2 linked regions of the Ovis aries genome follow. The protein of the gene in region 2 purifies or fractionates together with the protein of the main gene of each other region. This does not show direct contact. Links are inferred from orthologs where the notes say so. Each region holds a gene or a part of one and is shown on either strand. Other genes may lie near its edges.

Region 1 (3,652 bases), on a different chromosome or scaffold from region 2:
AGAGATTCTGCAAAACCACTTGCACCAAGGTCACCAATGAGCGTGTTGCAGTTCAGAGTGATGCGCCTCAAACCAGCCATGCAGTCAAGATCAGGTCTCCTGTAACGAAGACTCTCAGCCCAGGTTTCTTCATGCCTTCTGATGGTCTGATACTTCACAGATTGAATGGGATGAAAGTAAGTCACTTGAATGAAGAAACAGCGTATGCCTACTGAGTATAGCTTATTATGTCAGAGATTTATACACATGCACGTGCCAAGCACATATGACAGGAGAAATTAAACAGTCAATTCTGCTTTAGGGATCCAGTGACCCAGACTCAAGTCTGTCAGTGATCAGACTCTAGCCACTGGATGACTGTTTTTCATTAGCTATATAAAGTTTGACAATTCATTTACAGTCTATGAATTTTATTTCCCTTATCTGCCAACCCAGGGAATTAGTTCTAAATTGCGTCATTGCTGAGGCTCTAAATTATATCATTCTGTCCTCCAGTAGTCTCCAAACATTTGACTGGGCACCCTCTAAGAAAAAATTTTAACATGCATCTTATTTGTTAACAAGTTACATACATGAAGTTCTATACATATAGTTTGTGTACACTGTAAACGACACAGATTTTTTAAATGATACAAAAGTAAACGGGGTCTAATATCTTCTTCTAACTTCTAAGGTATTACTTTAAAAACTATATTTACAAAATGGATCTTACATACTGCTTTAGGTATACACACCAACTTTAAAGGCCTGGACTATGCAAAGTCAGTTTGATGTGCCTTGATGGGCCGAGAATTTGACATTTAACCACTAGCATTATCTTAAAGACATTCAGTTCTTTATATTCATAAAATACATTTTGTTAACAAGGAACATTGACTTTAAAGGAAAAAATCTTATTACATTCTTGAACAAGACTCAAAGTTCCTCTGATACTCTAAAAGAAAAATCATTAGTGTCATTTTTCTATTAACAATAACTACACAGTACTTATTATGTGCCAGGCACTATTTATCCAAATGAGTTCATTTAAACTTCATAACAAAGCACAGAGGTTAAGCAATTTGCCCATGGTCATCAGCTATGAAACTGGGAGAGATGAAATCTGAACCTAGGACATTTGGCTTCAGCACACAAGCTCACCACCATTTTCTATCCCCGGGATCAATGGATTTGCCCTGTATAGGTGCAAAGCATTTTTTAATTTTTATAATTTCAATTAAAAAACTTTCAGCTTTGTGGGCCATACAGTTTCTGTGGCAACTACTTATCACCATGGGTGTAAGGTGAAAGCAGCCTTAGTTACCATGCAAACAATGGGTGTGGCTATGTTCCAAAAAGCTTTCTTTACAAAATCAAGGGATGGGCTGGATTTGGCCCCCCAGCCATAGTTTACCTATCCTTGATCTGTACCATCAAAGTATTAAAAAGGCTTCATGTCAAATTATTCAAAAATTTTAGGCCTAACCATTATAAAGTTGTTAAGGCAGTATTTTTAAAACTACATTTAGAGAGCTCTGAAGTAGTAATTTTTATTAGTTTATAGACTATAGCAGCTAATAAGTACTTCATTTATTTAAGTCTTGAAGACTATAATGACAGTTTCTTCACAGTATTACAGTAAATGTTTTCAATAACTAAAAAGACATAAAAGTATTTAAATATTATTATGTAGTATATATTAAATATCTTATTTCTAAGATTAAGTGGACTATCTTTACTAAATGAAGAATCTCAAACTGAAAACTGGTCATATTCTTTCAACAAAACTAAAGCTGCACTCACATGTATCAAAAGACAAAAATCACTGCCATTTGTACCAAGAAATTAATGTGCTACAATCACATATGTTTTCATGAAAGTTTAAACATAAAATCACCTTTAAGATCTTGGCCATGTGATCTGCTCCCTGCCATGTCAGATTACACCCCGTGAAGTTTATTGTCTTAAGAGTGACAGAGTTCTTTATACCTTGACAAACAACTAAAAGAAAAAAAAACAAAAACAAAAGAAAACCACACACACAATAAGATGAAGAGCCTATATATTGGTCAGACTTGACTTATTTGCTTTTCTTGAGTCAACTGGAGGTTTACAGCGAGATTCTTAAAATCACTGTCGCCAATCTTCCCCAATAGCTGTATTCTACAATAAGTCAGCGATGAAGTGCTACAGTGTTCCAGTTTACAGCAATAGTTTAATTCTACTTAAATACTAAAACTGAATACACTGAATACTGCAAACTTTATTCCTAACCACTCAGTTAAGTATTATATACCTTTTAACACACATGAGAAAAAGAGAAAAACCTAAAAAGCATAAGCCTCTTACTTCTATTTCCAATGATATATCCCAATTTTCAATCAACAATTTAAATGTCAGCTATGAACTCAGAATCTTATTAGATACTATGCAATATAATACCGTAATATAAGACAGACAATCTCAAACTCTGTTCCCTGAAATTGAAATGCAGCCCACCTTAGCCCTCCAGGCCAGTACTGGGCACAGTGAACACCCACGAATGCTTCAGGACCCCAACAGTCACCTTCTTTGTGATTACCTCCATGATACACCCCTGCCAACACTACTGAGCTTGCTCACCTTTTAAATGCTCTTACAGTACTTTGAATATATCTCCTACTTTAACACATTCCTCAGTGCATTATAATTATTACTGAAGATAGATGTCCTAACAATTTAAAGGTACAGATATTTTGTTGCTCTTGACATCTTGCTATTTCCCTTCCCACAATATTTCTTAAAAAGAAACCACAAAAATATAAACACACACAAAAAACAGAAAATACAAAATGTGTGGTTTGGGGCTTAACGCAAACTGAAGTAAAATCAGTGCTCAGAGTATCCAGCATGACAGACTTCCATGGTACAAATGAGAACGGACCACGGTATGAGCAGGTACGGGAAACAATCCAGGCGGGGACAGCACCAAGAAAAGGTAGACAGGAATCAACATGGTGTGCAGTGAATCACAAGACCAGTCTGATGGGAAGAAACTCAAGACTGACACTCACTTTCTAAACCTCCATCTCCAATCGGACAATTCGCAAGAGACAGGTGCACCAGAGTGGCCGATTTATTCAATCCCTTTAATGAGGAAAAAAAGTTCAAAATTTTATTGGTTTAGTTTTCCCCCAAAGCAACAATCAAATGTTGGCAGGACTCATGGAAGGCTTACCTTTGTCAACATCGTTAAGTCTCTCTCTCTCAGAACTAGCCCGTTTAGCTCCAGGTTCCTTAGCGCACCTGATGCACTTAAACAGCATTTAAGAGCTTTACACAACTGGAAGGTCACATCTTTATTTCTTATCGCAGGCACACGACTTCTGTAAACTTTATTTCTGTCAGAAGCTAAAGCAAAATTATTGTAAAATGAGTGACTTCAACCATACATTTTATCATCATTAAAAAGCATCCACTCTGGGCTAAGCATTAGAAAAGACTCCTGCCCTTTAAACCCTCTTTAAGTGTGGACATATGTAAACTCAAAACTTCAATCACATGAGATAAGGAAACATAATCTATGTGTACAGAGGTTCCTAAGGAAGCAAAAACTTATATCTAAGTAATGGCTTCATGATCACCCTGAAGCTGAGTCTACTAAGATGACACTACTTAGAGATGGACAGGGAGG
Region 2 (3,752 bases):
TAATAATTATTAGAAACGGCACAAATTCAAGTCCGTCTGGCTCCAAAACTAACAGTGTCCATTGGTTTCCTCTGCTTCCCTGTGGCCCCCACGAATTTCTAATAGAGGCTTTGAAATCACTTTTTAGTCTAATCTGGGCCATTTTGGAGCTGGTGACCTACAAAAGTGTTCCATTATCTGTCTCAAGGGGTACCTACTCTATCCTGATTTATAAATAGTCATATATTTTGTTCAAAAGAACTTCTAAGCAAGTGCGTATGTGTAATGCAGTAACAGAAGAAAAGTGATATTTAAAATTAAGAACGTTTCACAGGACCCTTAATTTAACGGAACATACTGGAGAAAGAGGCTTCGTGTTTTCACTTTTTTTTTCTTGAAAGAAGTACTTGATTTTTTTGAAGGGGCCAGAGAAGCCTTTGAGAAAAAAATCTATTAACTGGTTCCCTAGAAAAAGGCAGATCTATTTAAGAATTAGCCCTTATGATCCCACTGATCATAAGCTGAAGAACGAAACATCTTCGATGAAACTGATATTTCATCTTTCATTTAAAAGAATTAAAAATTCATGAGTCATTTAAATCAGGAAATCGGTGGAAATTTCCACATTTTGTCTTTGTGTGGATACGTGATGGTGGCGGTTGCGTGGGGGTGGGGGGTGGGATTGGGGAAATCAGGGTGATAAAAAGAAGTTGCTGCAAAGTCAGCTCTATAATCCTACGATTGGACCTTCTGGAAAGGCCCTTACATAACTACCTTACTTCTCCAATAAAACGCTGTCCGTTTCTTGCCCCTTAACAGATTTCTACACTTCCACTTTAAATATAACTGCGGATGTGAAGGACGAGAAACAACAACAGAAAACCCCTAAGGGTCCGCAAAATAATTAGGGCTGCCCCAAGAGAAATCAGAGCGCGAGACTGGAGGAGCCCCTGTTCCCTCCCACCACCACCGCGCCGGGGACACACACTTAGCCTCTCTCCCGGACTCCCCGCCCCAGCCGGCTCGCCCCTCCGCCTCATCTGTCCCGAACACGTGCTCTCCGGAACACTCACTCGGGAGCGAGCCCACCCCCCCGGGGGGGGGCCGGGCTCGGGAGCCGAACGGCCCAATCGGCGCGCGCCTTACAGCGCCGTGGCTGAGCCGCCCAATCGGCAGGGCCTCGCCGCCCGTTTCCCGGAGCCCCGCCCCCTCGCGGCCGTGCCCCACGCCCGCCGGTCTCCTCCCTCCTCCTCCTCCTCCCGTTCGCCCCTCCCCCTCCGCTCGGGAGCGGAGCCTGCGAGACGGAGAAACTGGGGCAGAAGTGAAGATGGCGGCGGCGGTGCTGGTGGTGGCGGCGGCGGCTTCTTCTCGCCAGTGACGCGCCGAGCGGGCTCATTTCCCTCCCCACCTCCCTAGTCCGGACCCCGTCCGCCGCCGGGACCACACACCGGCCCCACAGCCCGCAGCCCGTCCCCCTCCCCTCCTCAGTCGGGCCCCTCTCTCCCGACGTCCGGCTGCCGGTGGCGGCGGCAGCGGCGGCGCGCCCCGGGTCCCGGCCGCCGGCCTCGCACTCCTGCGCCCTGTCGCTGAGGGAGCGGGGTGGCGTGTTGATCCGCCCTCCTGCCCGCCCCGCCGGACCGCCGCGCCTCGGACACACGCCCGGCAGGGAGGCGGCGGCGGCGGCGGCGGCGGCCCCTGCGCATTTGCTTCTCTCATTTGGGGACCGGGAGGCGGCGGCGGCTGTGGCTGTGGGTTTTGACGAGGGGAAGGGGTTCGGGGGTGGGGGGAGCCGAGCGGGAGGGGGCCGTCCTCGAGAGGACGACGAGAAGGAAGCACCATGACGTCCATCCATTTCGTGGTTCACCCGCTGCCGGGCACCGAGGACCAGCTCAATGACAGGTAATAGGGCCGGCGGGCGGGCCGGCCGGCGGGCGGCGGGGGGAGGGGCGCCTCCCCGCCCTCCCCTCCCCCACGGGGCCGCGCCGGACCGGCGGCCGGTGGGGAGGGCGGGGGTCCTCACTGCCCCCCGGCTAGGCCCCTTCCGGGGCAAACTTCTGGTCCCAAGGACCGGGGCCGCGGGGTCGGGGGGGTGTGGGGGGAAGCGAGCTGTGGACGGGGAAGAGCACTGCACCCTCTAACGCCCCCTGGTCCCCCCGCCTCCACGGAGGAGCCGCGTTCAACTCGGTGGGGGCGGCGGGTGGGTATCCAGCTCCCGGTGCGGGGAGCTTCATCACCGCCCGGGCCAGGCCCGAGGAATCCATATTAGTCAAAGTTGAATTGAGACAGACAATGCGGATGGGGGATGGTGGAGGCTGAAAAAAAAAAAAAAGAGGGAAGCGGAGGAGCCGGGCGAGGGGCCCCGGGGTAGGCTGGGTTCGCCCGGGCTCCCGGGAGCTGTGTCCGGTGGGGTGGTCGGACCGGCGGGGGCCTGGGGCTCCTGGGGGAAGGGGAGGCGGGGCGGGGTGGGGTCGGGGGACCTGGGTGGGAGAAGCTGATTCCCTGCAGATCGCGGGTGGGGTGGCGGGAGGGAGGAAGCGCCATGATTATTGTTATTATTATTAAATTTGAGCCCCTGCAGTGAGGTTTGCCGGTCCGGGGAGGGGATGAATTTAGGCGAGGGTGGGGGGCGGGGAGGGAAGTGGATTGGGTTCCCTTTGCTCTGTTTTCTCTGGAAACGGTGCTGGCAGCTCCTGTTTCCCAGTCCCTGTGGTGCGAGCTTTTTTGTTTCCTTTTTTTATTCTAATGATAGTGTTTTCCTGAGTTGTAATTTGACAGCTGAAAACCGTGCGTAGAGTCAAAGGAAAACTCTTACGTTTGCAGTTCGCAGTGCTGCTTTTCTTAACACGCTGTAAATTTCTGGGATGGGTTTTGCTATGGGCGGAGGAGGCATTATGATTTTTTTTTTTTGGTCTTTCATAAGGAGGCTGTTTTGACTCCGGATTCCTCCCCTTCCCTCCTCCACCGTTCCCTGCCAGTTTAGGATATTGAATTGCAAGGCCGCATGCTCTCAGGGAACTGAGATAAAGCAGGAAAAGTTCCTTCACTGTTGCAAAACAGAGATTCCGAAAAGGTTGAGGGAAACCTCCATTAGGCAAGGCTGAGAATCTAGGACTCAGATCGAATGATGGGCTAAATGTTTTACAGGGTCAGAAAGTGGGGCATTTGAAGTTTCTATACCAACACTTTCGCTGCTCTCTCTTCCTCATAAATATAGAAGGCCGTCAGGGCCCACGTTTAGAAGTTAGATATGATTTTTGTTAAGTGACCGGGTGACATAAATTGCATGAAGCCCTGTTTGTCATGCACTTCCCTGAGGGAGGAGGAGGCCTAACTTCTGCTGATATACCGGCCTCTGTTTCGGGGAATCTAACTGCCTCAGGTGGGGCGGACAGCCTTTCAATCCGGGAAGCTGGAGGCTTGGTTTCTGGCATTGGGTTCGGATTTGTCTAATCTTTGCTGTTGTAGCCATATTGTATTTCACATGTTTGTAGAACTTTTGGAATACTTTCTCAAAATACTAATCATTTGGAGTGGTCACATAGTTCTTTTAAGTACGAAAATAAGTTTTAAGTCATTTATTTTATAATGCAGTCTTACTCCGATTTTATTTCATTACATATCTTTTGTTAAGACTTTTACATAAGGTTTTTTTTTGGGGGGGGGGGTAAATTTTAGAACCAGGCTAGTAGTGAGGATAGCTGTACTGTCTGTCATTCATAGAATCCAGTTGGCCGTGCTTGTGGGGGAACTTGTTACATTGCACCAGAAGAGAC

Evidence for each region.
Region 1: the proteins of UBR5 (region 2) and CEP78 purify together in Homo sapiens (affinity purification with western blotting; 3 studies listed by BioGRID, with this or other methods). This does not show direct contact. The link is inferred for Ovis aries from reciprocal best matches to the Homo sapiens genes UBR5 and CEP78.

Annotation. Positions count from the first base shown.
Region 1 is NC_056055.1:58,675,967-58,679,618, forward strand, and holds part of CEP78 (centrosomal protein of 78 kDa), read right to left. Parts: intron 3,370-3,652; coding exon 3,197-3,369; intron 3,106-3,196; coding exon 3,033-3,105; intron 1,981-3,032; coding exon 1,877-1,980; intron 153-1,876; coding exon 1-152. UniProt on the Homo sapiens protein: Centriole wall protein that localizes to mature centrioles and regulates centriole and cilia biogenesis. Involved in centrosome duplication: required for efficient PLK4 centrosomal localization and PLK4-induced overduplication of centrioles.
Region 2 is NC_056062.1:74,932,529-74,936,280, forward strand, and holds the start of UBR5 (E3 ubiquitin-protein ligase UBR5), read left to right. Parts: upstream 1-1,296; 5' UTR 1,297-1,816; coding exon 1,817-1,878; intron 1,879-3,752. UniProt on the Homo sapiens protein: E3 ubiquitin-protein ligase involved in different protein quality control pathways in the cytoplasm and nucleus. Mainly acts as a ubiquitin chain elongator that extends pre-ubiquitinated substrates.